Callithrix jacchus: one gene and its partners. The protein of the gene in region 2 interacts with the protein of the main gene of each other region in a biochemical or structural test. Links are inferred from orthologs where the notes say so. Each region holds a gene or a part of one and is shown on either strand. Other genes may lie near its edges. The genes, in order: KCNJ2, DLG1, VANGL1, ADGRA2, FRMPD4, CTNND2 and GUCY1A2.

Region 1 (4,561 bases), on a different chromosome or scaffold from region 2:
TTTCCTAATAGGGACATGATGAAAAGTCATTTATTAATTAAAATGCATTTATATTTCCTTTTAAAAAAACAAAGCAATAGAGTTATTCAATGCTACCATGCATTTAGAAAATTTCACTTGCAAAATTTAATCCTTCATACTTCCTTATTTAGCTAAGTAATTAAGATAATGATTCTACTAAGATTGGAAAGTTGGAATTCAAATCATCAATTTTTCCCGAAACTTCTCCTTCAAGAAATAAGCCTTGCTGCACAACCTTTAGTCCCCTGGGAGGAGAGAAGTTGGGGATGTGATGTTGATAATTGATGACAGAGGCCAAGATTTTTCTATCATATGAAACTATCTTGGCCTGTGGTGTATTCATTCTATTTAGAATAGAAGACTAAAGCAAAATCATTTCAATCCAAGCTGCATAAAAATGGCATCCTTTTCCGAGTGAGTGACTGGTTTTCAAAGAGAGCTCATTACCTGGAACAACAAGAGCAAAGAAAGTGTTGCCTCTCTGAATTCATACGGTTTGGAAAATTCTTAGCCATCTGCAGATGCACCAACTGAATCATAATAAAGAAGAAAAAAATCTGTAAGTGATTAATTTTCTTTTTCCATTTGGGCTTAACGTGTTTTAAGGTATAATTAAACTTTTGGTCTGTTTCTTAGAAGTCCAGGAGGAAGCATATGTCAGAAGAAGCTTATTGAACTGAGCTGTTAACTCGTCCATTATCCTTCGGTTAATCTAGAGTTAACTTGTCAATCCTCAGGTTCTTTTAGCTTTAGGGTACAGTCTAGGTTCTTAACATCCATCTACTTTACAGTGTTAATTCAAGCTGTTTATAAATAACACATAACTAAATAAACGTTAAATTAGACCTCCCTTAGGGCAGGCATTATTCCCAAATGCAACAGAGTTGGTACCAGGGCTTGGTGAACAGCATAATCTCAATAAATTAACAGGAACCACATCGCCATTTGGCTTTCAGAGCAGCCACACTGAGTGCTTCGTCTATTTCACACCCTTTTAATTTAAGTACCTTGCTCAGTGCTAAGAGGCACACTCCATAAGGCAGGATTAAGTGCGTATCTGCAAAACCTAAGCAACCATATTTCACCAGCACCTCCTAGGGGCCACGTGTGGATATGAGGCTGGGAGGTGGGGACGCGCGCAGAACCTTTTCTTGAATTGTCAGTTCACCTCTCCTACACACGGAAATCCACCCCGACTGCGCCGTCCACGATACCAGCTAGTCTGCCGAATTAGTTTAGCGACTCAATGAGGCCTGTAGAGGTTTAAATAAACTGCACAAACGATACATTTGATCGCTCGAGGAAATAAACATTTTTAAAAACTTAGTGGAAGGAAAGGCTCCTACATATATCCTGTTCTTTAGGAGCAAAGCTTAGTTAGGACACCGAAGTACTCAGAAATAATATGCACTTACTCTTCGATTTACACACACACACACACACACACACACAAAAACCACACGGATTAGTTTATAAAGTTCCAGGATCCAGACCCGGTTAACACTCAAGTTGCTTTTTAGGGGTCTGCGCACTCTTGCCTGGCTCCGCTGGAAATGAGAGCTGGGAGGCGCTGAGGCGAGGGCAGATCTAAGTGTCTGTAGGAGTAGCTATTCCAGAAAAATCATTACTCTCTAATTGTTCTGATTTTAGATCAGCAAAGCGTGCCGGGCGGTGGTGGAGAGATTGAGGGCGGACAGGGCGAGAGGGAACGAGCCGTCTCCCCTTCAGAGAAGCCTAGGCTCCTTGTAAGTACTTCGCGAACAGTCCGGAGAAGAAACAGCCGAGCGGCGCTGTAGGGGCCACACTTGCGCGCGTCTCAGTCCCTGGGGCTCTGCGCGCCCGTCCCAGCCACTCGCCCCATTGACTTAGCGGCCTCTCCGGGCGCAGCAGCCTCGGCTGGGGGCTTCCAAGGGCCGCCGTGGGGGCTCCGGCAGAGAGGCAGGGGAGAGGGAGACGCGCCGGGGCCGACGAGCAGTCCTGCCACGGCGGCAAACGTCTCTCCCCGGCGCTGGCACCTCGCAGGCCCCCTCGAGGAGCACGCAGGGCACAGCGCTCCCGCGAGGAGGGGAACCGGGAAGTGCGTGGGGCTCGAGACGGGGTAGGAAGCTTTGCCCAAGGCCAGGCTGCAATCAGGCAGCCGCAACGGCCGGGCGCGGAGCGTCCCACCTGCTGCTGTCCCAGCTGGGCCACAACTTCCTCCTCCCAGGCCGGAGCCCGACTCCCCGGCCGGCGGGGCTCCGAGGGTGGAGGGGGAGGAGGCGGCGGCAGGTTCCCTCCGCTGGCAACGCCTCGAAGCATCCTCCCCTCCCCGCCGCGGTTCCCGGGGCCGGCCGCGCGGCCAGGAGCGCTGCGATTGGCCGGCAGCGGCCGGGGGCGGGGCCAGGAGAGCCGGTGTCGCACGGACCGCCTCAAAAGAGCCCAGGATATTGCAGAGCGCACTGGAGCCCTGGCCAGCGCGCAGCCTTCCCGGCGCCGGCAGGCTGGGTCTTGGGAATTCTGGTTAGCTTTGGCTCACTCGCTCTTTACAAACTACTGGATCTTACATGCCTCTGTACCCCCCACTTCCACTCCATGTCCCCATGCTCCTGCGCCAGCAACAGGTAAGGGCTGCTGTGTTTTCTTCCTTTTCGCTCGTTGCCTGTGTGTCCTGGGGAATGGACTCTGGCCGCCGTCCCCTACCCTACCCTGCCCCGCTGCTCCAGAGGTGCCCAGCTGTCACACTGCTGTAGCGCTCACCCACGCTCCGGAGTCCCAGATCATGCCTATATAGTTTGTGTGCGCACCAGAACATCCCCAGAGCTAAAAATACTGAGACATGCTTGGAACAGTTGAGCAATAGAAACAGATTTCTCTGCAGCATCTGTTTGTGCTCATAACTTCCAATGCACCAGCTGTAGCGAGATACTGGGTTTGGAGGCAAGGGCGAGAGTCTGTGTTCGGTTCTCACTCTAAGAAAAAAAAAGGTGGGAGGGAATTTGGTTTGGGGGTACGTCTCGAGCTTTGGTCTTAAAGCTTGGCAAACCTTGGGACTCAGCACTATTTTTGATCCTTGGCTTTTTTTTTTTTTTTTTCTTTTTCCGTCATTGCTTCAAGTATAGCTGTGAGTTTCAAACAGAGTAAGTGTCTCAAAGTTGCCTTCCTGGAAGAAGAGCGGGAGCTTGAGTTGGGTTTGAGCCTGAGGATCGCAAAACTTTCACATTATATATCACTCTCCCCTAACCAATTTGTTGTGTTTAGTAATAATGGCATTAATACCTAGCTTGAAGACAGTGTGGTTTTAGGGACGCAAAGTAGTCAAAACGACTTGATTCTGCAAAAAGATTGCATCATAGCATGGATTCATTATGACAATTGGAAAAAAAATTAAGGATATGAAATGGGCAGTTTAATGTCTGTGTTTGGGTAAGGATATCAGCAGGATGATCACTAGGATCAGGCTGTGAATTCTGGGGATTTTCTTAAATTCAGAGTTTACCTGTTAGGAAATAAGGTGTTATTTGAAAACCTGTTTTGGATATGCAAAGAATCCACATTGCGTTTTACCATTTGTTTTCTTTTCACATTAATAATCAATGGACTGCCAGATTTCCTCTTGCCAACCACTGTTGTGTGTCTGCTGTACATTATCTGTACACTTGTTAGCGTTTTCCTGCTCACTTCCAAATGTTTTATTTGTATTTGCCATTATCTGGAAAAATCCTGGTGCTCTGAAGGGGTAAGAGAGGTTAATTGAAGCATGGTGGAAAGGGTGAGAATAAGGTCAAGGTCATTTTACTTAGCTTTCTTCCCTCCTCTCTCATATTTTGATGACATTTTATTTTTTAATGTTCTTGGTCTCCATAAGAAATATTTTATCTAAACTCTCATGAATTTGGCGTAGAAAAATAAAAGAACACAGTCTTTCTACATCCTTCGGACTCTTCAGTTACAGAATCGCTAGTTAGCTGTAGTGTCCTTATGTGACTTTTGCATAACCTGAAAGATTGACAACAACTACCTGCACAGATTGATTTTTAACCATATATTTTTGTTTACCAGACATGTCTATTTTTCAGCATATGCAAATACTGAGCCATGCTACAAGCCAAGCGTGGTTGAGTATAAATGTCGGACATGGGACTCAGGTAGATAGATAGGTATCCCCCCTCCCCTCCCAACTTTCCCCTCCTCCTCCCTTATGTTTATTGAGCTTCTAAGAGGTTGCTTTCCTAGCAGTTGTGCTCACATAGCAACATGTGCCCACAGCACACTCAGGCTGGTCTATATGGCGTCAGCTGGGGAATAGCTGTTCTAAACAGTCATTAGGAGACCTCTCAGCCCAGTACATTTTCTTTTGCTATCTTTATTTCCTATCCTTAGAAACTTTCTTATTCATTACACACCATGACCACATTACAGGACACATTTATTCTTATTTGATTTTTTTAAGTTATTTATAAGCCTATTGGAAGCATTACCTATATAGTCAAAACAATTTAGATCCCCCATTTGTACCACGCGATCTCCTTGACCTTATATTTATCCATAGCTCTTTCTCCTT
Region 2 (3,807 bases):
TGCCTCAAAAAACAAACAAACAAAAAAACCCTAAGCATAGGAACTTTTCAAATACTGCAATCTTGGTAGAAATGCAAATATTCTAAAATTCTATTTAAGATGAAAATCAGTAGAGATAACAGAGAAATTAAAAATCCTCTCAAGTTCTGTGGAATATCACTAATATTGTTAACCTTGGAATGTATGTCACGGATAAAGTTCATAGGTATATTTAACTCAGAGATTTCTTACTTAAAGATTTATCTTAGTTTGACTTACCACATACCTTTAGGACCTTTAATGAGCTTTATTTCCATTATTTTTTCTGATACTGGTTTCCGTCTTTTTACATACAAGCGTACGATAGACCCCGCTTCTTTCAAGGCTTCAACAGCTTTGCTATGTGTTACATCACGAACATCTACTTCATTTACTCGTAATATACAGTCATTGACCCTGGGAAAACAATTAAATATTTAAAGTAACTTTCCTAAGGCCACCCAGATAACAGTGACAGAGCTGTGATTCAAAGATAAGAAAACTGATGCTCAAATAGTCTGAGTAATGAGTTTAAGATCACAGAGATAGTGTGAAAACTGAGATAAACTAAAAATAATTTTTTTTTTGAGACGGAGTTTCGCTCTTGTTACCCAGACTGGAGTGCAATGGCATGATCTCGGCTCACCGCAACCTCCGCCTTCTGGGTTCAAGCAATTCTCCGGCCTCAGCCTCCCGAGTAGCTGAGACTACAGTCGCACACCACCATGCCCAGCTAATTTTTGGATTTTTAGTAGAGACGGGTTTTCACCTTGTTGACCAGGATGGTCTCGATCTCTTGACCTCATGATCCACCCACCTTGGCCTCCCATAGTGCTGGGATTATAGGCATGAGCCACCACGCCCAGCCTAAAAATAATTTTTTGAGTGCAATTTCCAACCTACATACTAGACTTAAAAAAACAAAGTTATTTTTTGAAATTTGTATAAAGTTGAAAATTAGGTCACTTAGTTCAAAGGTTTCTTAGGTAAAGAACTTATAATTTGCCATGGTATTAAAGTTTGATTTGTTCCTAGTCTTAGCCTTTTCCCTAGTTCTGGTCCCTGTGATTACGTGGTATTTCATCTGGAAAGAAAGATGGTCATCTCAAATTGGATAGAGAGGGTAAACAAAACATAATTAAAATATTAAAGCTGGTCATGACAAATTTCTATATCTAATTAACAGAATCAGGAAGCAAATGTCTACATTTTTATGAATGGTCAAATGATTAATTTTTATATCTATTTTATTTCATTAATATACCACCTGTCGTATTCAGTGAGAAGCTTAGAAACTGAAAAACTGCATAATGTACCAACAGCCTTAAAATAAGATGCTGTTTTTAACAGACTATATAAACTCTTCTGTCCTAAGACTTCAGGCTATTTTAACAACAAGGAAATAGGAAAAATGCCATAATTTATGACCCGCCCCACCCCCCCCGCCAAGAAACCAAAGTTTGCAAAATATATCTTCCAAAATGGAACACTAAATTTAAACAGAGACAAATGTTATTTTCATCTATTCAATTAAGAAAATATATTATTTAAAGTTTGCATATACTTTACTCTTTGTGGTGTGGGATACAACATGGATGTGTGATCCTCTATCCTCCATATCTTAAATAAGTTTATATACATGCTTCCCAACCATAGAGGAAATGGAAAATATTTTGTGAGTGTATTTGAAAATACAAAGGGAAATTCATGATTTCTATAAATAAACATTTATAGAATTTTATTTATAGAATGTTCACAAACATTTCAACCATCAACCAAATTTATTATTCAAAATGTTATAATATCTAAGATAAAAAAAAACAGGACTCCTAAATGAAAACAGGAAAACAATGCTTAGACGTAATTATCTCATTCACTGACTTGCATGTTGTTAAAGCATCTACCCTATGTTAGTTACTATGATAGTGTTGTTATTTCTATTTATCCCTGTCCAGTCTGCTTCAAGAAAAATACACAAAGTAGATTCGGCATCACAAAATAAAGTGCAAAGCATACCGCAGTCTTCCATCTTGGGCAGCTGCTCCCCCTGTGATAATTTTGGTAATGAAAATACTTGAGTCATCTCCAATGTGTGGGTTGTCCGTACCTCCTGCAATGCTAAAACCAAGCCCTGAATTTCCCTGAGGATAGAAGAAAAAAAATTGACATGAATATGATTTCTCTTTGTTGACAGGTTTCTGTCATTAAAGGATGCAGAAACTGTACTAATGTAAGGAACACAACAAATAAAGGTATATGTGTAATATAAAGATTCTAAATTAAATGGACATGTTCTGAAGGAAAGTCCTTCAGAGGCATTACCTGCTGAGCAGGTGAGGTTCAAGAAAACATACCAAGGACTTTTGAAGTCTACTGCACAGTTTTTTCTTTAAAAGTATGCGCAGCTTGCCCTTGGATTAGTCACCCATCTGCAGAGATGTCACTATAAGTCTGTTTCTTTTAGACTGCACCTCAGCCATGTTTGGTAGGGCACATCTCTATTAAGAGACAAATGCTAAAGAGATCTTCCTGCTGTTATTTCTGAATAGGTAAAATCAATATTTTTTTTAGCCTTTAAAAAAGGGGGAGGCGATGGTGTTTTTCTTCTGCTAACTTGCCATCAGCTTATTTTTAAATGACCAAATTGTAGATGCTATGTGCTAGCTGCCTCAATCCTTCACATGTTTAACCAATATACCTGATGAACGAAAGGTATTTTTTAATACTGAAACTCCAACCTGAGAACTTAACATTGGTGAATTTTCTTGATAGCAAAGTAAAATTTTGCCAAAGCAGCCCTACTTTTTCTTATTTTATGAACTGGAGAAACTAGATTTCTGCTTCACAGTAAGGTTTCAACTGCCACAAAAAGTCTTTAAAAATAATTGATTTAAGCAATGGTATTGAAAAATATTTATATCTGCAAGAATGTTTTAACTGGATTTCAGGCAACTCAAGTAAGCAAATATATCTGGACCTATTATTTAGCTGTTAGTATTAAATAGTGTCATCACTCACTCTACCACCATTTGTCTTAAAATTCTATCTTCATTAAAAAATGTTTTTCAATCTAACTTCATGAATTAGCTGAATCTTAACAATAGTATCAGTGGATGATGGGAGGTTACCAAGTTACTTAGGTACTCAAGTTCTTCAACCAATGAAGAATACAATGTACAGTTCTGACTAAACAAAAGGAATTTAAAAGGTCCTGGGAAAGGATTAAAAAAATAAATAAAATAAAAAGGAGACATCACAAACCACTACATTAAAATATGTACAGTACATTAATACTGTGCTTACTTGAATGTTACTCCAGTAGCTACCTAACTTGAGCAGGTGATCCGAATTTAAGTAGAAGACAATAAAGATACACATGTAAAAGATTCTCTCAGATTTATTTTTCTTGGATTCCAACACAAATCTAATTATCTAGGATTTTAGTCTTGAACATACAGACATTTACTTACTTAAGAAATCTGCTTGTGTGGAAAACTAAATTTCCACAAAATGTTAGCTAGATAAGGTGGCATTACTATTATAACATACAATAAAAACTGAATGCAAATATTCTCTTTTTTTTTTTTTTGAGATGAAGTCTCACTCTGTCACCCAGGCTGGAGTGCAGTAACGTACTCTTGGCTCACTGCAACCTCCACCTCCTGAGTTCAAGTGATTCTCCTGACTCAAGTAGCTGGGATTACAGGTATGTCCCATCACACCTGGCTAATTTTTGTATTTTTAGTAGAAACGGGGTTTCGCCATGTTGGCTAGGATGGTCTTGAACTC
Region 3 (4,366 bases), on a different chromosome or scaffold from region 2:
CTTGTTTCACCAATGAGTTCAACTCACCTTGCCAGAATCACTTCTCTCTCCAGTCATTAATTACCCTGAAACACCTCCAGCAGCTGGGTACAGATTTCTGAAGAGCTGTGAATTGTTAACACATCTGCAGTTCTGTGATGTATATTTGTTTGCAAGTGACTCCCTTGTCCCCTGCCAGATACTCAAACTTCAGAAAAATAGATCTCGTGAGTACTACCTCCTCTGTAAATTTGATGGTATGGGGTCTAATCACTGCTGTTTCTATAGTGGGATTCAAAAGGACACTGCTAGAGACAGCAGAACCCACATATAGCCTTGCACCAAATTTCAGAGGGACCAATATGCTAACAGAAACACAGTCCAATTACAAGCCCACCTCATTTTGTCCATCTTAAGGAAAATAGAATAGCACGATGCCCAAATCACATGCCCTATACAACAAGACCCTAACCAGCTAGCTGACTTTACCGAGATGATGGTAATAGTCTAACAGTTTATGGTTGTCAAGTGTTTACTATGTGTTGGATGCTGTTTTAAGTCACTCACATGTAATATCTCGCTTAATCCTCATCACAAGACTTCAAGGAAAAGAAAACATTAGTATCATGTTAGTTAGGGAAACCAAACCGACACACTGGAGCCAGGGCTTGAACGATGAGAGTCTAACTCCAGAACCTGTGCTCTTAGCTACAGAAAATTTACAGCATTGCAGCAATTACCAGAATGGCTTATTTCTATAGAGGAGTATAAGCAACAATCATAAATTGTCCCAAACTACATATAACCCCACAAATAATTTTGCAATTTCAACTTCTACTCACAGGTTCTGTGTCCCAAGCATTGTGGGGCACTCAAAAGAAAAGAAATGAATCTAAAATAGTTCCAACTCCTAAGGAGCTCACAGCCCCAGTGTGGAGACCTGCAATTAAAACATAATGTGATAAGGGCCCATCCCACCCAAATAGGTGATAAAGCCTAGGACAGCAAGAACGGTGTGTGTGTGTGTGTGTGTGTGTGTGTGTGTTAAGGGGATGATAACAAGGAGGATGCCTTCTTCATTCAGCACATTTATCCTTCAACAAAGGGTGACATGGAATTGGTGCTTGGTAAAGAAACTTTAAATTTCCTTTATGGTTTTGTCCTGTTACTTCATACATAAGACAATAAGAATGTACTGCTTGGCAAGTAGTCTTTACAAATATGTCACTCTCAAAATTCTTCTCCCATTTTACTTACAAATGCAGTTGCAAGCAAGCCTCACTGCCAACATTGTTAACAGTGAACTTTCACCCAGAGTGTTTTCACTAATTACACAGAGACAGCAACGTTTCGGAATGTTTAATGCTCACGGATAGGTGAAGCGTGTTATTTCTTTGAACTGGAAAAAGAAACAGTTTCCTCCCACAAATCAAAGCCCCAACTATATCACATCGATTTAATTCAACTCTAAAAACTCTGTAATTAGTGGTTACAGAAAATGGCTAATTACCTCTCCCTGTATTCAGGCAATTTCTGCCATCTCATTTACAGAGCCTGGGAGCTGTGTACTCAACCCACCCACTGAAAGGAGAATGCTAATTATCATTGTTGATTGGTGATATAAGTAATAATATTTTTCAGCAACCCTGTAAAATTTATAAACATGTCAGTGAAAATGCCAGATTCTTCACAGTTTGTTAGCTTTTAAACTAAGAGTCTAAGATACATTCATTTCTAACCAAAGCCAGGGCAAGAGTTTTAACAAAATGCACTGGCCACCCACACAATCACCATCGTAAGGCGCTCCAATACTTCCTAAGCAGCGTCTAAGGGCGCTCACGACGCCTTCGCAGGGTGGGCATTACACCTGGTTTGGAGAAGTGAAAACTGAGCAACAGATTTCTCGACTCCAAGTCTCATCTGCTCATCATCCAGCAGCCAGGCCGCGGCTCCGCCCCACTCCTGCCGCCACCACGGACGCGTTTAAATTTTAATAAAGCTTCACACTTCTCCAGGCGGGATGCTTGGGCAGTTCAAAGGCTGCAGAAGGAAATGAAACCCTGCCGGTGGCGAAGGCTGCCCCGGCGCGGTGAGATTTCCTCCAGCAGGGACACCTTGGGCAGAGACCCGCCGGGCGCCTCGGCTCCACCCCGGCGTTTTTGAAAGTAAACTCCTACCTGCCTGTTGCTCTCTCCGAGGCGCAACCGGACTCGCCCCCCAGGCCTCCAGGGCCGGCTCAATTTTTTGTGAGCGAGGCGTGCACACAGACCAGTTCTGTCCCGGTTCCTGGCGAAGGGCCAGTCGGTGCCCGGGTCGAGCCCCTCCGGGGGTGGGAACCCGGGTGCGCGCCCGGCTCCCGCCCTGCACGGCTGCTGCAGCCGCCCGGTGCCTCCAACGCTCGGCCACTCCCTGCCGGCCTGCCCGCCGCCCCGGCACGCGCACCCGAGGGGCGCACCCAAAGGCCGGGCAGGGGAGAGAGGGGCGTCCGAGGCGTGAGCAGGGCACCCCGGGACCCCAGGGACTGGGGCGCGGCGGGGATCGCACGGCAGAGCCAGGAGGGGCGCACTGCGCGGGGAAGAGTGGAGTCGGAGGAAGCGCGACCCGGAGCGCTCCGCAGGAGGGAAGGGAGCTCGCTGGCTGAAGCGGGAGCCGGAGACCCGGGGTCGAAGTCTGGAGGGGCGAGTGCGGGAGGAGGGCGCAGGGGCACGCGGGGTCCCGGGTGGGGGCGTCTCCCTGCCAAAGGTCTGTCCGCGGGGCCGCCGCCGCCGCGCCGCGTGGGTCTCTCGCGGGACTCACCTCCGCGCCGGCCGCCCGGGCTCCGCGGCCCGCGGTCTTGGCTCACAGCGGCCCCGGCTCTGCGGCCTGCGCTGGGCTCCTGGAGAGGCAGAGCCCCGCCGCCGCCGCTGCACTGCTGCTTTCCGCTTCCTGTCCCGGCGCCGCCCCGCAGCCCGAGCCCAGCCCTGCGAGCCCGGCGCGGCCGCGAGCCAAGAGCAGCGAGCGCTGCCGGCCCCGCCGCGGGCCCGGCCCACCTGCAGCGCAGGGCGGGGCCCGGTCCGCGGGCGTCCCCCTCCCTTGGTCACCGCCCCGACCCCACACACCCGGGACACACACGGAGGCGTGCACTGTCACACTCGTGCACAGGACCCGGGGAATGACACTCCACACACACATTCACCCTCATACACACACTCACACTCTACACAGACAGCACAGCCCAGTAACCCACCCTCTTTGGGGCAGATATGGGCACTATTAACACAAGGTCCAGGGATTGGTCTCCCCCCACCCCGAGACCCACCCTCCAACATATCTGGAATCTCAAGCACATACGCACACACACACACAATCATACACAAAATTCAAGTCCATTTGCCCTCAGCAGCGCCCCAACCCACATATTCACACGGCTCAGGGATTAATCCCCCAACCCCACTCAACACACTCATATACGCACATTCCAAGAACTGACTCACAAATGTCCATATACACCACATCTCAACCCATATACACACACTTAAACACACATGGAGCCCTGGAAATAACTCATTAAATGACTCCACAAATAGCCACACGTGCGCTCACACCCAAACACACAGGCTCATACACGCACCCTACAAACCTACAAACCACCACAGCAAGCCTCTCCTCTCCCGTCCCCTATCAGAGCAGGCTCTCAGAAACTGCTAGATGAGCACATCTCTGCAAGCAGGTGGCTGAAGCTTCAGTGCAGATTCCAACCAGGTACACTTCCCTCTCTGAGCCTTTGTTTCTCTGTCTGAAAAGTGGAGAGAATGCCGATGCCCGCCTTGCAGGATTGTGGTGAGTGTTACAAAACAGTTGGCAACGCTTTTCAGGAATATTTGCACTTTTCTTAGTTGTATTGTGTTGGTAGCATTAGGGCTCCTCACGGATCATCTCCATTCCAGGCAGGACTTTCCAGTGGAAGCAGTGTATAATGAAGTGCCGAATTTCTTTTTTTTTCTTTAAATATATATTTTATTGCATTTTAGGTTTTGGGGTAAATGTGAAGAACATGCAAGATTGTTGCGTAGGTACATACATGGCAATGTGGTTCGCTGCCTTCCTCCCCATCACCTATATCTGGCATTTCTCCCCATATTATCCCTCCCCAACTCCCCATCCCCCACTGTCCCTCCCCTAGTTTCCCCACACAGACCCGTGTGTGTGATGGCCCCCCCACCCCGTGTCCATGTGTTCTCATTGCTCAACACCTGCCTGTGAGTGAGAACATGCGGTGCTTGATTTTCTGAAAGAAGTGCTGAATTTCTTAAGAGTTGTCTGCAGGAGTATTTTGGGTAGTTGCAGTGGAGAAACACAGGTGCACCCTAACTAACCTTTGTCAGGGAACTTCGGCCCCAAGAAGCCA
Region 4 (4,490 bases), on a different chromosome or scaffold from region 2:
CTCTTCCCGATGGGGAGGAGACGGATCATCCCCTTTCAGCCCCTACATAGACCTTCTCCTGTTCCTTCCCTCGAGATACATCCTGGGGTGGGCATGGGGGTGCTGGAGGGACTGAGCTTAAGGAAGGAACCCTTGCCCAGCTTCAGCTGAAGGAGAGCATGGGTTCTTTTTCTTTCCAAAGACAGCTAGTGGGGGGTGGGCGTGGGGGTGCCATGAGGATGAGGATTATGTGGATCCTGGCGGAAGAGCTAAGCAGTAAGTCTGTGACTGAGGATTCCATTACCCTCCAGGCTGAAGGTCCCTTGGACTCTCCAGGGCGTCCCTGGCCTTGCCCTGTCTGTGTCCCTGTGGGGAATCCAGAGCCAGGCTTGAAGGCTGCTCTTTAAAGGATATCCTGTCCTAAGCCAGTGGGTCAGTGGCCTGGGAGGGTTTGGGATGGGAGGGTGAACTAGGGGTCACCTTTGCTGCCACCCGGTTCTTATGCATTTTTACCAAGAGTTGGCCCCACTCTCTCCTTGAAGTGGTGTGGATGGGAATGAACCATGGCCTGATCATTTTAAGATGTACTGCAAAACCGACTTTCTATCCATCCCCTCTACCCCCCCTCCCCCAGCCATTTCCTTTTGCCTTTGATATGTTAGGATTCCCTAACCCTGACACAGAAACGCAGAGAATGCGCATCCCACAAATGTGCATAAGCAGACACTGGAGTGTGCACACATGCACGCCCAGATCTCAGTTCTGAATTATTATGCAGCTGGGACTCAAGGCAGACACGACCGACTATTCCTCAGAGCAAGCGTTTTTCTCCTCCAGAACTGAGTGGGCTGGGGAATGCCCAGGCCTGCCTGGACCCTCAGACCCCAGCGGACACTCAGAGAGAGCAGCCCTGAACAGCCACAGGTGCCTTTCCTGGCCACTTAGCCCTGAGCAGCCGGAGGCGGGAGCGAGCAAACACACCGCCTCCACCCCTAAGGCACACACAGGCACACACACATACACCCGGGCTGGGGAAAATGCAGGCCGGGCGGCCAGCGTCAGAGGTTGACCAGTTGTGTCCTGTCAGGAAGCGGGCAGTCTCTGAACTCACCCAACCAGAGGCGTTACTGTATTGTTCTGGACACAATCGAAAAGACTGGGCCAGCCGGGACTCCGGGCAAGGGGCGGTGGAGAAACGGTTGCCACTGGGGTTAGGAGGACAGGGAAAGGGAAGCGGCTCTTAGGCTCGATTTGGGACAGGAAAGGAAACGGCGGCCGCGGACGCCCGACCCTCAAGTCCACGGCGTGCGTGGAGCTGCGAGCACGTGGCCGGCGCAGGAAACCTCTGCGGCTGGGAGGGGTCGCCAATGCTCGCGCAGCTGCTGGAACTTGCGACCCCGTTGGAGGAGGCTTGGGGTCGGGTTGCGGCGCCACCGCGCTCGCTGCCAGCAAAGCAAGGGCGTACTGAGGCCCTGACTGAGAGAGAAGTCGCGGGATGAGGCCGGGGTGGGCGGCGGTGGGGGGATCCCGCTTCCCCAGCCTCTTTTCTTTCTTGGCAATCTTTGCGCGAAGTCAATCAAGAAACAGCCAGAGCTCGAGTTATTTCCGGGGGGGGGGCAAAGAAGAGGCAGGGACGCGGGACCCAGCACAGAGCTCACCGCACAAACGGCGCCGTGGGAGAGGGGCCCTAGAACTAGCGGGACGCCAGGGTCTCCCGCAGCCCAGAAGCGCCCGCATTCCAAGGGCCGACTTTCCCGAGCCCAGCCTCCCCTTGCTCTAAAGAGACCGGTGGGAAGCGGCGCTGGCATGGCAGGGGGTATGGATGGGATGACCCCAATGGGAGGGACAAGGCCAGGCGGGTAAATCCAGAGACTCCTCCAGCCGGATTCCGGACGCGTCCGCAGTGGTTAGGAACACAGCCCCGTCCTGGGCCACGGGTGTCCATCTTTCCTAAGCCTTCCCCGCTCTCACCTTTCTCAGGTCTTAAAGTCCGCAACCCTAGTCCAGTCTGGAACCCGGGGCGTGGGTGCCCTACAGGCGTGCACTCCATTTCACCTGTGCAGGTGAGTGGGCGCCTTCGGTGCCTCTATCAGGGGCGCGCCTGCCCCCCGCAGCCGCTTCCCGCCTCCGCACTCCAGGAGCCCCAGTCTCCCCGCTGCTCCTCCAACCCTCCCCTCCCGGCGCCTGAATCTCTGAAGTGGGGGTATCGCCCCCTTCCCCCTGCTCCCGCCCCTCTCGTCTCGCTGCCCCTAGTCCCCCGTCCCAGCTCGGGCCGAGCTGGCCTGATAGGGTACTCACAGGGTAACGGTGCCGTTAGGCAGAAGGCCAGGCTCGGGAGGCTCCGGGAGGTCTCCGCCACCACACACCACCCTCCTGCGTGCCGGGCCGGGGGCGCCGCCGCTCAGCCCCTTGGGCCGCTCCCCCGAGCACTTGCAGCTGCGGATGTGGAGCGGGCAGCCGGGCGCGCCCCGAGCCTCGGGCGCCAGGAGCAGGAGGAGCCACGGCAGCAGCGGCAGCAGCAGGCGCGCGGGCGCCCCCCGCATCCTGCGTCCCCCGGCGCCCATCAACCCATCTCCCCGCGGGGACCCACAGCGCTGGGGCCGGGCTGCGCGCCGGCCGGAGGGACCCAGGCGTGCGGGAGGCGTGCTTAGCGGGGAGCCGGGGCGCCCGAGGACCGGGCGGGGGGCCCTGGGCGGAGGCGAGCCCGGGGGTCCCCACCGCCGCGCCCCGGGGGCATCTCCGGCGAGCGCCCCGGCGGGGAGGACGCTGGCGCAGCTGTCAGCTCAGCGCGGGCGGCCCCCGGCGGCGCGGCCCGAGTCTCAGCGCCCGGCCCTCGGCCCGGTGGAGGCCCGGCCCCTCCGCGTCGCCTGCTTGCTGGGCGCTGGGCTGGGACCTAGCGGATCGCGCCGGGCTTCTGCTGCCGCCGCCGCTGCCGCCGCTCCGTGCCATGGATGGAGGCAGCTCCGCGCCGCGCCGCTCCCGCCGCCGGCCCCCGCCCTCCCGGGCCTTCCGCGGGGCCCTAGCGCCGTCTGACTAGCGGCCAGGCCGAGGCCCTCGGCCGAGTGGGGGCGGGCCAGCTGGCTCCAGGACCCTGCGTCCCCGCGCCCGCCCCGAACCAAAACACTCCTCTCCCGCTCATCCCCGTCCCCGGGCCCATCTTAGACCTCTGAGCCTGCCACCACGACCTTCCACAAAACCTCCCTCGCCTGTGCTGGTGCAGCCTGCACCCCCAGGCTGCTGGGGCCCTCCTGGACCCGCGGGCTTGGGCAGAGACATCTGGGTGCCCTGTTTTGGGTTGAACTTGGTGCTCTGCTCTGAGGTTTCCCTTGGCTCCTGACGCGATGGTCAGTCTGGAAGTTGGCTCTCACTCTCCCTCCAGCTCCGGTGAAGGCCGCCGCAGGAGGTTGGCAGCCAAGACGAAGGAGGCAGCAGACCCTCCTCCGCTGCAGTGACCTCGCTCAGCTGGGGTGCCTGTCCTTCGGCCAAGGAGAGGTCAAAGGCCAAGGCAGACAAGGCTGGATTGTGCCTCCTACATTTTCCACAAAGCTGTGTGTGAGTGTGTGTGCGTGCGTGTGTGTGTGAGAATGTATGCATGAGTGTGTGTGCATGTGTGTGACAGAATATGTGTGTGTGTGTGTGTGTGTGTGTGTGTACACGCGTTTTGGGAACAGTGAGTGGGAACAAGGGAACAGTAGATGAAGAGGAGCAGGGCTTTGCAGCAGGGTGTGGAAAGAGCACTGCGCAGGGATCTGGAGATCCCTATTCCAGACTTTGCTTTGCCTCTTATTACTGTCTGACCGTGGAGGCAGCCCCCAGCTTGCTGGCATAGCTGATCTCTGGGATTGAAATGGGGCTCTGCCTGGTCCCCAGTTTATTGTGGCATTAGAAGGAGAGAGTGTGGTGGGGAGGAGGAGCACGTGGTTTCCAAAGGCAGAGGACTGGTGGCCTTGGTAGGCATGACCTTGACAGCTAGTGGTGGGTATAAAGCTGTCTGCAGGCCCTGCAGTGGCTCACACCTGTAATCCCAGCACTTTTGGAGGCCAAGGCGGGCGGTTCACTTGAGGTGAGGAGTTTGAGATCAGCCTGGCCACCATGGTTAAACCCTGTCCTTACTAAAAATGCAAAAATTAGCTGGCTGTGGCGGCGGGCACCTGTAATCCCAGCTACTTGGGACGCTGAGGCACGAGAATCGTTTGAACCCAGGAGGTGTAGGTTGCAGTGAGCTTAGAACGTGCCACTAGACTGCAGCCTGGGTAACAAAGAAAGACTCCATCTCAAAAACAAACAAACACATAAATAAATAAAAATGAAAAAATAAAGCTGCCTGCAGTATACAGGAACCAAGGGTGGGGACAGGCAGGAAGAAGTGCAGCCCAGGGGTCTGTTTCCCCACAGAGGCTCACCTTTCTGCTGCTTCAGAGAGCTGCCAGGATGGGGCAGGACTCCTGTTCCCTCTTCTTCACTCCCTGATCCAAGCCATCCCCAAGGTGAGCGCTACCTTCTTTCTTGAG
Region 5 (4,427 bases), on a different chromosome or scaffold from region 2:
GTATAATAAAATATAACAATAAAAATTAATGCATGTAAAATATAACAACTATATAGCATTTGTATTGTATTAGGTATTATAAGTAATCTAGAGATTATTTAACATATATAAGAGGATGATTTAAAGTATACAAAGTATGCAAATATTGTGCTATTTTATATCAGGGACTTGAGCATCCATGGATTTGGGTATCCATGGTGGTTCTGGAACCAATCCCCCAAGGATACTGAGGGATAACTGTATCTAAGGGTGCTTTTGTTCTACAAGGGCAGAACTGAGTCATGGTGACAGAGAGTGCATGGCCTGCAAAACATAAAATATTTGCTATGTCACTCTTTACAGAAAAAGTTTGCCAACCACTGCTCTAGTCTGTGTTTTATAGTTTCCCAGCTGGATTGAGTCCCAGTTGTCCTCAATACTGACTTCCTTGATAACATACATTCTTTTGCCTTCTTTCCTTTTCCTGTCTTGTTTTCTCATCTACCTTTGCTTCTTAGATGTTTTCCCATATAAACTACCCATACTTACATTATTGACCCAAGGTTGACTTCTAGGGGTACCCAACTGCTGTGGTTTGAATGTGTTCCCTAAAGTTGGTATGATAGAAAATTGATTCCCAATGTGGAGATGTTAGGTAAGGCCTACGGGGAGGTGTTTGAGTCATGGGGTACCACCCTTAGGAATGCATTAATGCCATTATTGTGGAAGCTGGCTCATTAATATAGTAGTGGGCTCCTATTTGTAGTAGAGGGCTGCTTACAAACATATGACTTTGGCCCCCTCTTTCTCTCTCTTTTACCCTTTCTTGCTTATCTGCCATGTGATGATGCAGCATGAAGGCCCTTGTCAAATATGCTGGTCCCTTGATCGTGGACTTTTCAGCCTTCAGAAATGTGATAATAGATTTCTGTTTATTATAAATTATCCAGTCTCAGGTATTCTGTTATGGCAGCACAAAATGGACTAAGAAGCAAACCTACACAGTCATCATGTCTTTGTCCTAATCCTGCTCCTACGACTCACTAGAAGTGACCCTAGAACGTATCAGCTTCAGAACATTGGTTAAGCTACTGGCCCCTATTCCCCACCCTATCTTTTCTGCAGCACCTTATGAAAATTCAACTTTGTGGGCATGAATTTCTCAAATTTGTTTTATCTATCTTACCAAGCACCACCTCAGCACCAGGGGTGATAGAGGAGAGAATGAAGATGGGACAGAGGAAAAAAATTCCATCTTGTCCTACATTTGATGCTCACTTCTTAATACAGCTTGTAAAGCTTATAGCTGATCCCAAGGTGTCAATGTATCTCAGTCATGGCTGATTGTTTTTCACTGACCTCTGGACCTTTTCAGCCTTGTGGGACATGGCCAAGTCATTGCCCACCCCAACCTTATTGCTGCTGCTTTCGTTTGTTTCTGTCTACCACTTCTAATTACTTAGGTCACTTCAGGCTTTAAATCTATCTTCTAAATTGTGACACAGCCATAATTAGGCCATATGTTAATTAGCAGGATGACACTGTGTGCCTTGTCACTCGTCAGTGATGTAGATCATCCCAGAAAGTGCCATAGAAAGAGGAGTTCAGTGAGAAGAGGAAGTCTAAGGGAGGTTGGAAGTGACTCTTTGCTCAGCAAAAACTGCCTTAGCAGGAGAAAATGGCAATGTGTAAGATGGGGAAAGGATGGGGTCACACAAAGAAAAAGAGCTAGAGTTGACCTCTTTTCCACTCTGGGAATGAGATGTAAGCTAGGAGGCAAGCCTGAGGCTGAGACTCCACCAGGGATGGCAGAATCTTCTGAAGAATTGGAGGTGGTGGCCAGGGCAGAGGTCAAGGTCTTGACGGAGGCCATTGATGAGGTGAGTGTCAGACATGCCCCTATCTTTATTGCCTGGAAGTTTGTGGGGAGGCCAATCAAAAATCAAGGCCAATCTCTGCTTCTATGTATACTTTCAGTGCCCTTTAGGAAATCTAAAAGAGTTGGGTCTGATTGCTTGGGACTGTTTCTATGTGCCAGTTACTCATTTATTTCTGGTTCTTCTTGTTTTCTGTTAACTAAACTTGTTTTCTGATGTTCCTGGCATAGGAAAGTTGAAAAGGAGACTGGATAGGTCATGACTGTTTCCTGTTTCAGATATTGTCACCTTTATCACTCAGGAGACAATTTCTAGGAAACTAATTACTGAGGGAATTCATTATTGGGTGGGATGACATGTGAATTATAAAGATATTAACTTCACTCCAGTTTGCTGTTAACCCATAATGTGATAGAAACCTGTTCTGTTATCACCTAACTAATGGATGCAAGGGACTAAGGCATTCATTTTAAGTTACATATTTGTTTGGATTTTAGAAAAAGGCATTTGTCACAGGAACTCTCAGAGCATACCAAGGAGACATTTTGAGGGCTAAGTTTATGCTAATAATAATAATTATTATTTATTGCTAATATTAGTTGAGTTCCTCCTATATTTCAAACCTTTACAGGCATTACTTCTAACACACCTACAATTCAAGAAAAGTATCATTATCCCATTTAACCTGAGGCTTACAGACATTGGATCATGCTCAAAGATCACACTGCCAGCTGAGACAAAACTGAAATCTATATTTCTTTTCTTTTCTTTTTTAAATTCTAAAATTTGAGCTCTTGTCATTTCCAGATAATAGATATTTTCAGCTTTGCCAGCCATACGGTATGTATTGCAGCTACTCACAAAGGCAGCCATAGACAATTTGTAAATGAATGAATGTGGCTATATTCCAATAAAGCTTTATTTACAGACACTAAAATCAGAATTGAATATAATTTGCACATGTCATGAATTATTATTGTTCCTTGGGTTTCTTTTCAACTGCATAAAAATGGTAAAATCATTCTGTTCACAGGCCATATAAAAATAGGTGGCAACCCAGGTTTGGCCCACTGGCCAAAACCTGCTCATCCTTGCATTGTACAAATCTGCCTTTCTAACAACTTACAAAAATAATGAAGTGAAAGCAACTGAGCTACATATTTTACCTAAGGGAGCCAAGCCAAATATGCTGATGCTTATGGGACCATAGTTCTTATTCTAGCTCTACCATCAAATTAAATGTATAGGATTAGGCATGTCTTAAAAGCTTTCCCAGATGAGGTTCCTAACAGCTCCACTATTCTTTCATATTAATCATAGTTTGACTGTACCAAATGATTTCCATAAAATCACAATTTGAATCTAAGGTGACAAATTGGGTGGGGCTATCAGCAATATGGGGAAGACTGGGGAAAGAGTAGGTGTGGGGGTAACTTCAAGAGTTTAACTGTGAACCAGTTAAATTTGGGGCACATAATAGACATAAGTGGGAACAGTTGAATATAGAAATCTGGAATTCGGAGAGATGGCAGGACTTGATATTGAAATTTGGGAGTCAACATTAGCATGTAGACTGAATCTGAGTACATAATGGCATCTTTTAGGGCAGGTTGGTTATTGACCTTTGAGGTGGGGTAATTCTTCATTGTAGGGACTGTCCTGTACATTGTAGGACGTTGAGCAGCATCCCTAGCCTCTAAATGTTGATAGCACATTCCCCTCAGTTGTGACAGCCCCAAATATCTCGAGACACTGCCAAACGTCCCCTGGGGTGAAAGTTATCCTTGGTTGAGAATCACTGTTTTAGGCTGAGAATGGTCCTTCACTACTACAACTTTGGAAATCAGAAAGAGGATGAGAAAATGGGAAAAGAGACCAAGAAGGAAGAGTCAGTAAGTAGAAAAATTCATATGCTGGGTCCCAACTATCTAGACTAGACTTGGTTTAACATTTGTTGAAAGCCAGAGGTGAAGGGTGGGCAAGAGGCAATGCTCCAGAGATCAGGGCTGAGCCACAGTGAGCCCCACCATATTTTGTCGATGGGATTTCCAGTAGTGGTTAAAGGGATGGGGTAAACCAGGCTCTAAATGCGCGGAACCTGGGGGTGATGCAATGGACAGGCTGTTTTCTAGTAGGGAATGGTTAAAAAAAATAGATGGTTAAAAATAACATTGGGAAACCAAAGATAGAGACCTTTACGTGTTTCTTTTTCTTTCTTATTTTATTTTTAGAAATAACTCTCAGAGGATAAAACTGTTATGGTCTGGGTGAAGGAAAAAAACAAGAATAGAAATAGTTTCTATGGTTCTTGAGGAAAAGCAAAAGTACTTAAGAGATGCGGTTTTTAGCATCCTGAGCTGCAGGATGTGATGTGGGGGGTGTGTGTGTGTGTGTGTGTGTGTGTGTGTGTGTGTCTAATTGTAGTAAAAAATAGTGAACAGATTGTGTGAACTCTCTCTTTATACATTTGAAAATTGAAGAGCTATGGCTTGACAAAGGCTCAATATAAAGGTTAAAAAATTTAATCCCTCATATTGAAATTAATGTCATTAAACAAGTGTGCCTCCTAGT
Region 6 (3,807 bases), on a different chromosome or scaffold from region 2:
GCTGTAGGGCTGCTCATACAGTGGGAGAGAATTAATACACGCCAAACCACTCCTCAAAGCTCTCTAACTGTATAATTCAGAGAAAATACTTTAATCTTTGAATGTCTCACAAATATAGACAAAAATAGATTGTTTTGCAGACAGTGGTTTCATTGTGTGTGTGGGTGTGTATGCTCAAAAGAGCATTACCATATTAAACTCTTAATGCTCAAAACAGGTAAGCACTTCAATTAGAGATTGCGAAGGGCTACAGAAGGTAAATACAGAAAAAAACCACATCGTTTCCTGCCTGCATAGTATAGTATTGTATTGTAAGTACAATAGCATAAGACATAATTCAAGCCAACAATCTATACTGTGCAATTATTATATGAGTCCAGTGGGGGTTCTCTACTTGATAGAAGAAAACATTCAAATCCAAATGCAAAATAGTTGATTGAGCCTATCTGGAGGTCTCCAAGTGCTGAAACAGAAATTCTGAATCTTCTATAATACGTTGGTGATATCCTGAATCAAGTGAAATAATGAGACAGAATTTCCAGAAAGTCTTAAAGTGCATCCCTCAAAGTGTTTAATAACAAAAGAAAAATTATTTAGCATTTAGATGTAAAAGGACGGGGAGGGGTTGCTTGGCAGGGAATGAAAAGTCAGGAAATAGACTCTTGATAACAAAATGTTTACCCTTTCGATCTTATTTGATCACATGGAATAACTTCCAAGAGGCAAAATTTAATTAAGGTTAGTGAAGGTTTCTGTAAAATTGACACCTTACTGATATACTGATGGGCTGCCTTGTGAAGCTGTTTTCTGGCTGTATATAGTAAGATACTGTTGGTTCTTAAAAACTGGGCTGGGGGGACATTCCTATTCAAGGAGGTGCAGTTGCTTTGACACCAAGTCCTATCTCTTTTTGTTCTACCTGCGTGAAGGCCCTCCTTTCTCACCACTATCCCCTTTGCCTGGGACATTTCTACTCATTCTTTAAGATTTGACCAGCTAGCATATTGTGATAGCCTCTCCATTGGGTTTAGATTGGAAAGTATAGGCGTAGTGACTTATTAAATTAAATATCTGCCCCATATCTCAGAGCTTGTAAGGGAGGGTACTGGATTAGAGCTGAGTTCTCTGACTCCATCACACCTTGTCTCCTCCCTCATCCTTCCTGCATGTGACTTGCTATGACTTGGCGGCTGCTGTGATGTTGGTAAAGTGGACCTGACCTGGTCACAGAGCTAAAGAGGCAAAGAGCAGAAGGATGAAGAGACATCATCAACACATGGACTTCCCACCACAGAGGAACAACAACAACAAAACACTTCCACATATCTGGGTCGAACTCATGTCTCTTCCAGGTGGAAGGAGCACCTGGGTGTGCTGGTTTGTCAAGTCCACTTTACCAACAGTAAGAGAGAACACTGGGATTGCTGGGTCAAATGGTAGAACACATGGACACAGGGAGGGGAACATCACGCATGTTGGGGGATGGGGGGCTGGGGGAGGAATAGAGGTGGGGGGATTGGGGAGGGATAACACTAGGAGAAATGTCTAATGTAGATGATGGGGGGATGGATGCAGCAAACCACCATGGCACGAGTATACCTATGTGACAAACCTGCACATTCTGCAAATGTACCTCAGAACTTAAAGTATAAAAAAAAATTCAAGATAAAAAAAATCGAGAGAGAGAAGACTGGAAACCATTTGCCATTTTCCTTCTCTTGATTCTCAGAGACAAATGCCTTCGGTGACAATCATAGTTGAAAGGCACATTCAGAACCAGTTTTACCAGGACAGAGATATGACGTCACCAGGTAACTTACTTATCTCCTTTGCTTTTGGAGATGCCGACCAACTTCTCGATGCCACCAGCATCCCGTAAGGCCTTGGCGTTCTCCATGTTCTTGGTAATAACTTCGTGCAGGGTGCAGCAGACGGCTGTCACTGTGTCATCCGACATGGCCTTGCTTGCCGTGCTGTTGCTGTTGTTCCCACCTGGAAGTCTGTGGACTAGGTCTCGCATGGCGTATTTGCCTGGAAAAGAAAATAAAGAGAATACTTGAAAGGAGGTCAAGGTGAAGGCAGAAGGCAGTGGCAGAGGTGGGTATGGGGGAGAAGAGAATACAAGAGGCCCTGTTTATGCAATATTGTTTGTTTCCCACCACTGCACGTTCTCTATTGGGTAACTTTGGACGCAGCTACAGAGAAAAAGCAGTCATTCCTCATGGCGGTGCATGCACTCTGCTGCTAGACTGACCTGGGATCAAAGCGTGTTATTTCATGGGCAAGTTATTTCATGCCTCTTAAGCCTCAGTTTTTTCAGTCTCTAAAGCAAGACAATAATGGTATCTACCATACATACAAGGTTGCTGTAAGGCATAAATGAGTGAATGTATGGAACGTATTTAACACATGGGGGTGAACAAGGACACAGGACTCAATAGGTGTTAGGTGTGATTATGTTCTTGCTTGATGTTTATAGAAGTCAAGAAAAATGTACGGAAACTCTAACATAACCCTCAAAAATACCTTAATGAAAGCTATGTCAGAACCTGTATTTTTTAACAACAGTCAAAGCACTAATGTGTGGAGAACATGATCACATATATGAGTCCCGAGTTTTGATTCCTTTAAAGCAAAGAGAAACATGGAAAGCAGGAGAGAGGCACTTGACAGTCTGTAACTATGTGTCCTTTGAACTACAGTAACCTGACGCTGTTTGTCTCTCTGATGGTATTTTATTGTGTAGTTCTACCATGTAACCCTTACTAATTTGGTGTGTTTTGTGCGAAAAATATAATAAAATCCAATTCTGCTTCCTTAATTCACTTTAGCATTGTTAATCTGACTATTCCCAATGATAAAGGTACTTATAATGACATATTTATGGAGTACTTTTAGTTTACAAAGCACTTTAGGCATTACCAATAACACTGCAGACAATTTATCCCACCTGTAGCTGCCATTTCTGCTCCTTTAATTTACTTCTGGAAGTTAGTAAATGAGTGCCTGTAGCAAAGCTGGCTGTTCTCACATTTTTCAGATGTAATTGGCAAGTGCCTCAAGTTAGATCCCTTTCTTGTGTCCCATCCCTCAATGGGGCATATTTAGCTAGCTCCTAAAAGCTATATGAAATATTTCACCTTCATTTAGATCTGTAAATAATATCTTCTTCTGCTATTGAATTCTCAGGTGCATGGTGCCTGGCAGCAAAAGGGAACCTTGTGGGAGCAGGCAGTGATATCTTCATTCCAGGCAGTGATACATAAAACACAGGCCCTTGTAATTTTGGTATCTGCTCTTATCCTATGTTTAGGTGGCTTATTTTAGCTTAGAGAGAAAATGCTGATGCTTAAATTACTGAAATAGAAAAGTGTGTTCATTCACTTGATGATAGCTGAGGAAGTGTCTGACAAAAATGGTTTGCCTGCAAACCCCCCAAATGGAGCATATTTATTTTCTAATGACAGCACCTAAAATAGTTTATCTATTTATCATTAAATCAGGCTTAACTCTGGTTAAGAGTTTACTTTCGTAGAGCTCAGCATGCTGGAGATTCTATCAGTTCATTAACCCCCACAAATCATTAGCAGACAAATTTGAGCTCCATAGACGTGAGATGACCAATGTGTTCCTTCTTCCTTTTCCTTATAAGGAAAGCAATGAAGGAAGGGCAAAATAACTGAAAAAAACATTTCAGTCATTGTATATACAGGGACATTTACACCCTTGACGGTATATGCAGAACAGTTTGGTGACCTTGGACACTGTCAAGGGGAAAACCCAAAATAAAGAGAGGGTGAGAATTTA
Region 7 (4,331 bases), on a different chromosome or scaffold from region 2:
AAGGTATGTCTGTGAACCAGTCTGAGTGGATTTTTCCAAATGAAACCTCAAATAGCGTTTATATCTAAACCCTCACAAACACGTGGGAATATTTAGAGTTAAAAGCAAATTTGGGTGGGGTTACAGCACAGGTTTTATGGTTTTGTTTTGATTTTTAAACACACACAGTCCACACAAACCCATCTGTCTTCACATGAAAGGACCCGTTCTTTGGAAAAAATGCTTTGGCTTCAGATTCACTGGGGAGCTAAAGCCAGAGACCCTGAACTTTTCTCTACGCTGATGGGGGGAGCTGGGGAGGGTGCTTATCTACTTTAATCTACTTTATTGCAGGGGGAAGTACAGCCTGGGACCCCTCTTTGGGGATGCTGTCATTTGCCCCTTCTTCCCATCCTTTATTCTATCCTCAGAACCAGTATGAGGCTTTTCTGGGACTAAGGCAAGGTACAGTGGGGTCAGGCGCTGGAAGGACTGGTTTGCAAAGAGAAGCTTTGGAATGAAGCCGCACAGCTGAAAGCGCGCGACGAGATGCCTGCGCTGTGGCGAGTCAGTTCTCCGGCTGCGCGAAGCCTTTATCCCGACTCCTCTTAGCTTTCTGAGCAGCGTTTGCAGTCAAGTGCAAACAGATCGCATATTCGGTGCAAAGAGCCCTGAGGATGATGGATGTGGGATCGTTCCCCGGTTTCCCCGGGCCAGGTGCTAGACGGTTTGAGGAGGAACTGTTCTCCACTTCTCCACGCCTGCAAACGGCTGGAGGGGGCAAGCGGAGCTGTCCAGCACTAGTGAGGGGCCGGCGCAGCCGCGAGCCCCGCGCACAGCACCAGGCTGAGGCTCAGCCACGGCGCTCTCGCCAGAGCAGACGCTGTCCTCGCTGCCGCCCCGTTCTGGGCTCGCTCTGCGCCCACGCGGCCTCGCAAGAGGCGGTGAACGCAAGTCTCCAGGAGCTGCTCCAGCAGCATGGGCGCCAACATGTTGCCCCCGTCCTTCCCTTCCCGTGTAAGCGTCTCCTCTGGAATGGGCTGGCTGCACGCTTGGCCTTTCCCTTTCGCCTTGTAACTTCCTAAATAAACTCGGAGAAAGGACAGCATGAACCCTAACCTGCACTTCACACTGTCAGGCTTCCCCGAGGTGGCCCTAGGGGGAGGCCTGTCCCCCCCATCCCCGAACCCTTCTCTCCACCAGCGCCGCCAGAGCCGGTGTATTCCTCAGGGCCCAGGATAAGGCGTCTGGGGATTGCGGTCCCTCCGTCCGAACCAAGCTGCTGTGCGCACCTCCTCGGAGCAGGGAGGGCGCGCAGAGGACAGCGACCAAGTGTCCTCGTTGCTCCTGAAACGTGGCGACAGGCGAGGCAGAGACTCCCAATGAGTATGATGGCGACACGTGATAGTGGCGGAGGGAGAGCATGGGGGGGCGGGAGATAAAGGGAGAAGGAGGGAGGCGGGCAAGTGGAGAGAGGCGGGAGGAGAGGGGCGGGAGCAGTGAGGGAAAGGGGGCGAGCGAGGCGCGCAGGCGGCACCAGCCTCTGCCTCCCCGTCTGCCTGGGCCGCAGCCCTCCCCGCCCCGCCGGCCGCGGTCACACACTTGGAGCCTCCCCGGGAGCGGGAGCGCGGTGCACGGCGATGCGCCGAGGCGGGCGCTGAGCGGCGCCGCTTGAGCAGCAGCAGAGGCGGCGGCGGCCCCCAGCCCAGCGCGGCGCTGCCGCCGAGCCCGGGCCCCAAGGTGCGGGAGCACCCCAAGTTCCCGCCATGAGCAGCTGGCTTGGGGGGCTCCGCGGCCCCGGGGGCTCCCTCCCCGCCGAGCGCGACCACAGCGCCCCGGGGCTCCGACGCGCGTAACGCTGCCCCCGGCGGGTCCCGCCACCGCCGCCGCCCGTGTCCCCGCCGCCGCCTCGGCCGTTGCAGCGCCGCCCGCAGCATGTCTCGGAGGAAGATTTCGTCCGAATCCTTCAGCTCCTTGGGGTCCGACTACCTGGAGACGAGCCCGGAGGAGGAGGGGGAGTGCCCCCTGTCCAGGCTCTGCTGGAACGGCAGCCGGAGCCCGCCCGGGCCGCCCGAGCCCAGCGCGGCCGCCGCCGCCGCCGCCGCCCCAGCCCCGGCCGCTTCTGCCGCCGCCGCCGCCGCCACGGCCGGGGCCAGGAGGGTGCAGCGCCGGAGGCGGGTTAACCTGGACTCGCTGGGCGAGAGCATCAGCCGCCTGACAGCGCCCTCGGTGAGCAGGGGCCGGAAGGGGGGACTGCCTTCTTGGGAGAGGACACGGATCCGTAAAGTTGGCGCCGGGTGAGCCGGGCGCGAGTGCAGAGCCCGACCGCTTGGGGGCGGCCCGGCCTCCCCCCACCCCGCCCGGCCCCGGGTTCCAGCGGCTCTGGGCTGCAGCAGCTCTCCTAGGCTAGGGTGGAAGTGGAGACTAGAGCGGTGAGAAGTAAGATTCCACTCCTTTGGGGTCTCCTGATTCGGGGGCCCGTCTGCCCACCTCCAGCCTTGAACCCCGCTTTCCCACTGTTCCCCCTGGACAGCCCCAGTGCTGCTTCACACCCACCTGTTTTCTGTCCCCCAAACTTTCCCAGGCACTGTGTTCTACAGTTCGGATCCCCTGTCTTTCATCCTGTTCTCGAGCATCCCAAAGGAGCCCCAACCCCTTCCAGGAAACCCTTCCTCTCCTTATTTCCCACACTCTCTTGGTCTCAGCGTGACCTTCCTTGACATCTCGGAATCCCACAGGCTATCTGCATTCTGTGTTACATCCTTTTCCTCAGATCTTCAGACACGTTTTGCCAGATACTTTTCTGAGTTGCCTTCTGATGAAGGAATCTCAATTCTCGAGTTCTCCCAACCCCATAGCTATTTTTTTTTCTTTTTTCTTTTTTACTTATCCGCTAAGCATTTATTCTTTTCTGGATAAAACTGGTGTCTGGTTTTCTTCTCCTCTTTTTTTAAACTTTAATTTAATTTTAAGTCCCAGGATCCATGTGCAGGATGTGCAGGTTTGTTACATAGGCACAAAATGTGTGCCGTGGTGGTTTGCTACACCTACCAACCCGTCTCCTAGGTACGAAGCCACACCTGCATGAGCTATTTAAACTGCGCTATACTTCTTGCACCTGTACCTCATCCTTTACCATCTCTTCAATGGATTCCCTAGTGCTTTCTCTCTCATTTTTTGATGGATTCTTTATACTAGGCTCTTCCTGAATATTTACGGAGAGAATAAATGCCTTCCTAGACCTCTCCAACTTGTGCTCATCTCGGGATGTCTGTATTAGCAGGTTCAGGTGTGCACCAAACTCCCCCTGGTCGTAGGCATCCTTCGAGAGTACTCCTGCCTCATTCCCACCCAGGCATTTCAGCTACCCTTGGCTTTTACCTCTTGCTGGAATGCCAGACCTCTGGTCCAGTTTTTCCCTGTCTGGGTGAGCTCTGTTTTGAAGGAATGCATTCTACTGCAGACAGAATTTGAAAAGGACTCAGTGTCAATCTTCCTCAGTCTCATCTTTTATCCTCACCCTGACCTTGGATACAAGAGCTTTAACTCTTCCTGACAGCACTTTTACCTACTCGCCCCTAGGACTTTTACATTCAGAGTTTCCAGAATGAATCTGAACATTGATCTTGTTTGATTACTGTTGAGTCTCTCTTTTGAGGTTACTACTGCAGTTGATGGTGGGAGGGACCGAAGAAGGAGTGGGACCCTGAGGGGACTGAGTACTGGTACCGGGCAGTTCTTCAAATATTCTTGTGGCACTTGCATTAATGGAGAATGATGTTTTTCTTTTATGAGACCTTATTTAAGATATATAAATTACTTATTATGTTACTTATTTTGAACTAATTTAGTCATTAGGAACACATTGAGAAAGTCATCTTGCTCTTCTTGTGTATTTTCCTATTTGATATATCTTTCTGCCACTTTTTCTTTATTGATAACCTAGAAAACAATCCTCAGGATAGGTTGGGTTTCTTTTTGCTGTTCTTACCTGCCAATATTTCCCAGGCAATGTAATTTTATGAATTATTTGGTGTGGCAAATTGTTGAATATAAGTCTTTATAACAGGAGTCCAGTGACCCCGAGCATCTGTAGGCTTTTGTCAGTACCTAAAGCAACATTTGTGCAATGTGATAGTTATTCAGTACAACAGATTCTTATTTAATGAAATGATTTTGCTAAATATAATGATGAGTTTGTGATTAGTTTGGGGAGAATTGTTGATATAACCTTGGAGTGATTTTTTTTTAACTAAGAATTAGAATTTACAAATTTCTAAAAAGTAATGGCAATGCCTCTGTAATGCTAATTTAAACTAAGACTATTTTCAACAACTTACATGAGGAGTAGA

Evidence for each region.
Region 1: the proteins of DLG1 (region 2) and KCNJ2 form a complex in vitro, tested with the Homo sapiens proteins (2 studies listed by BioGRID and IntAct, with this or other methods). The link is inferred for Callithrix jacchus from reciprocal best matches to the Homo sapiens genes DLG1 and KCNJ2.
Region 3: the proteins of DLG1 (region 2) and VANGL1 interact in a test that uses a peptide from one of them, tested with the Homo sapiens proteins (2 studies listed by IntAct, with this or other methods). The link is inferred for Callithrix jacchus from reciprocal best matches to the Homo sapiens genes DLG1 and VANGL1.
Region 4: the proteins of DLG1 (region 2) and ADGRA2 form a complex in vitro, tested with the Homo sapiens proteins (2 studies listed by BioGRID and IntAct, with this or other methods). The link is inferred for Callithrix jacchus from reciprocal best matches to the Homo sapiens genes DLG1 and ADGRA2.
Region 5: the proteins of DLG1 (region 2) and FRMPD4 interact in a test that uses a peptide from one of them, tested with the Homo sapiens proteins (2 studies listed by IntAct, with this or other methods). The link is inferred for Callithrix jacchus from reciprocal best matches to the Homo sapiens genes DLG1 and FRMPD4.
Region 6: the proteins of DLG1 (region 2) and CTNND2 interact in a test that uses a peptide from one of them, tested with the Homo sapiens proteins (2 studies listed by IntAct, with this or other methods). The link is inferred for Callithrix jacchus from reciprocal best matches to the Homo sapiens genes DLG1 and CTNND2.
Region 7: the proteins of DLG1 (region 2) and GUCY1A2 interact in a test that uses a peptide from one of them, tested with the Homo sapiens proteins (2 studies listed by IntAct, with this or other methods). The link is inferred for Callithrix jacchus from reciprocal best matches to the Homo sapiens genes DLG1 and GUCY1A2.

The regions. Positions count from the first base shown.
Region 1 is NC_133506.1:126,195,560-126,200,120, forward strand, and holds the start of KCNJ2 (inward rectifier potassium channel 2), read left to right. Parts: upstream 1-1,663; 5' UTR 1,664-1,755; coding exon of another isoform or gene 1,756-2,319; exon of another isoform or gene 2,320-2,324; intron 2,325-4,561. Other genes in the region: uncharacterized protein LOC128932178, read right to left, coding at 1,756-2,319.
Region 2 is NC_133516.1:25,002,678-25,006,484, reverse strand, and holds part of DLG1 (disks large homolog 1), read right to left. Parts: intron 2,160-3,807; coding exon 2,035-2,159; intron 436-2,034; coding exon 266-435; intron 1-265. UniProt on the Homo sapiens protein: Essential multidomain scaffolding protein required for normal development. Recruits channels, receptors and signaling molecules to discrete plasma membrane domains in polarized cells.
Region 3 is NC_133508.1:153,635,328-153,639,693, reverse strand, and holds the start of VANGL1 (vang-like protein 1), read right to left. Parts: upstream 2,907-4,366; 5' UTR 2,776-2,906; intron 2,652-2,775; exon of another isoform or gene 2,157-2,651; intron 1-2,156.
Region 4 is NC_133514.1:38,693,357-38,697,846, reverse strand, and holds the start of ADGRA2 (adhesion G protein-coupled receptor A2), read right to left. Parts: upstream 2,945-4,490; 5' UTR 2,544-2,944; coding exon 2,278-2,543; intron 1-2,277.
Region 5 is NC_133524.1:12,035,219-12,039,645, forward strand, and holds the start of FRMPD4 (FERM and PDZ domain-containing protein 4), read left to right. Parts: upstream 1-1,585; 5' UTR 1,586-1,859; intron 1,860-4,427. UniProt on the Homo sapiens protein: Positive regulator of dendritic spine morphogenesis and density. Required for the maintenance of excitatory synaptic transmission. Binds phosphatidylinositol 4,5-bisphosphate.
Region 6 is NC_133503.1:194,576,067-194,579,873, reverse strand, and holds part of CTNND2 (catenin delta-2), read right to left. Parts: intron 2,032-3,807; coding exon 1,821-2,031; intron 1-1,820. UniProt on the Homo sapiens protein: Has a critical role in neuronal development, particularly in the formation and/or maintenance of dendritic spines and synapses. Involved in the regulation of Wnt signaling.
Region 7 is NC_133511.1:6,897,750-6,902,080, reverse strand, and holds the start of GUCY1A2 (guanylate cyclase soluble subunit alpha-2), read left to right. Parts: upstream 1-1,447; 5' UTR 1,448-1,914; coding exon 1,915-2,208; intron 2,209-4,331. UniProt on the Homo sapiens protein: Has guanylyl cyclase on binding to the beta-1 subunit. Isoform 2 acts as a negative regulator of guanylyl cyclase activity as it forms non-functional heterodimers with the beta subunits.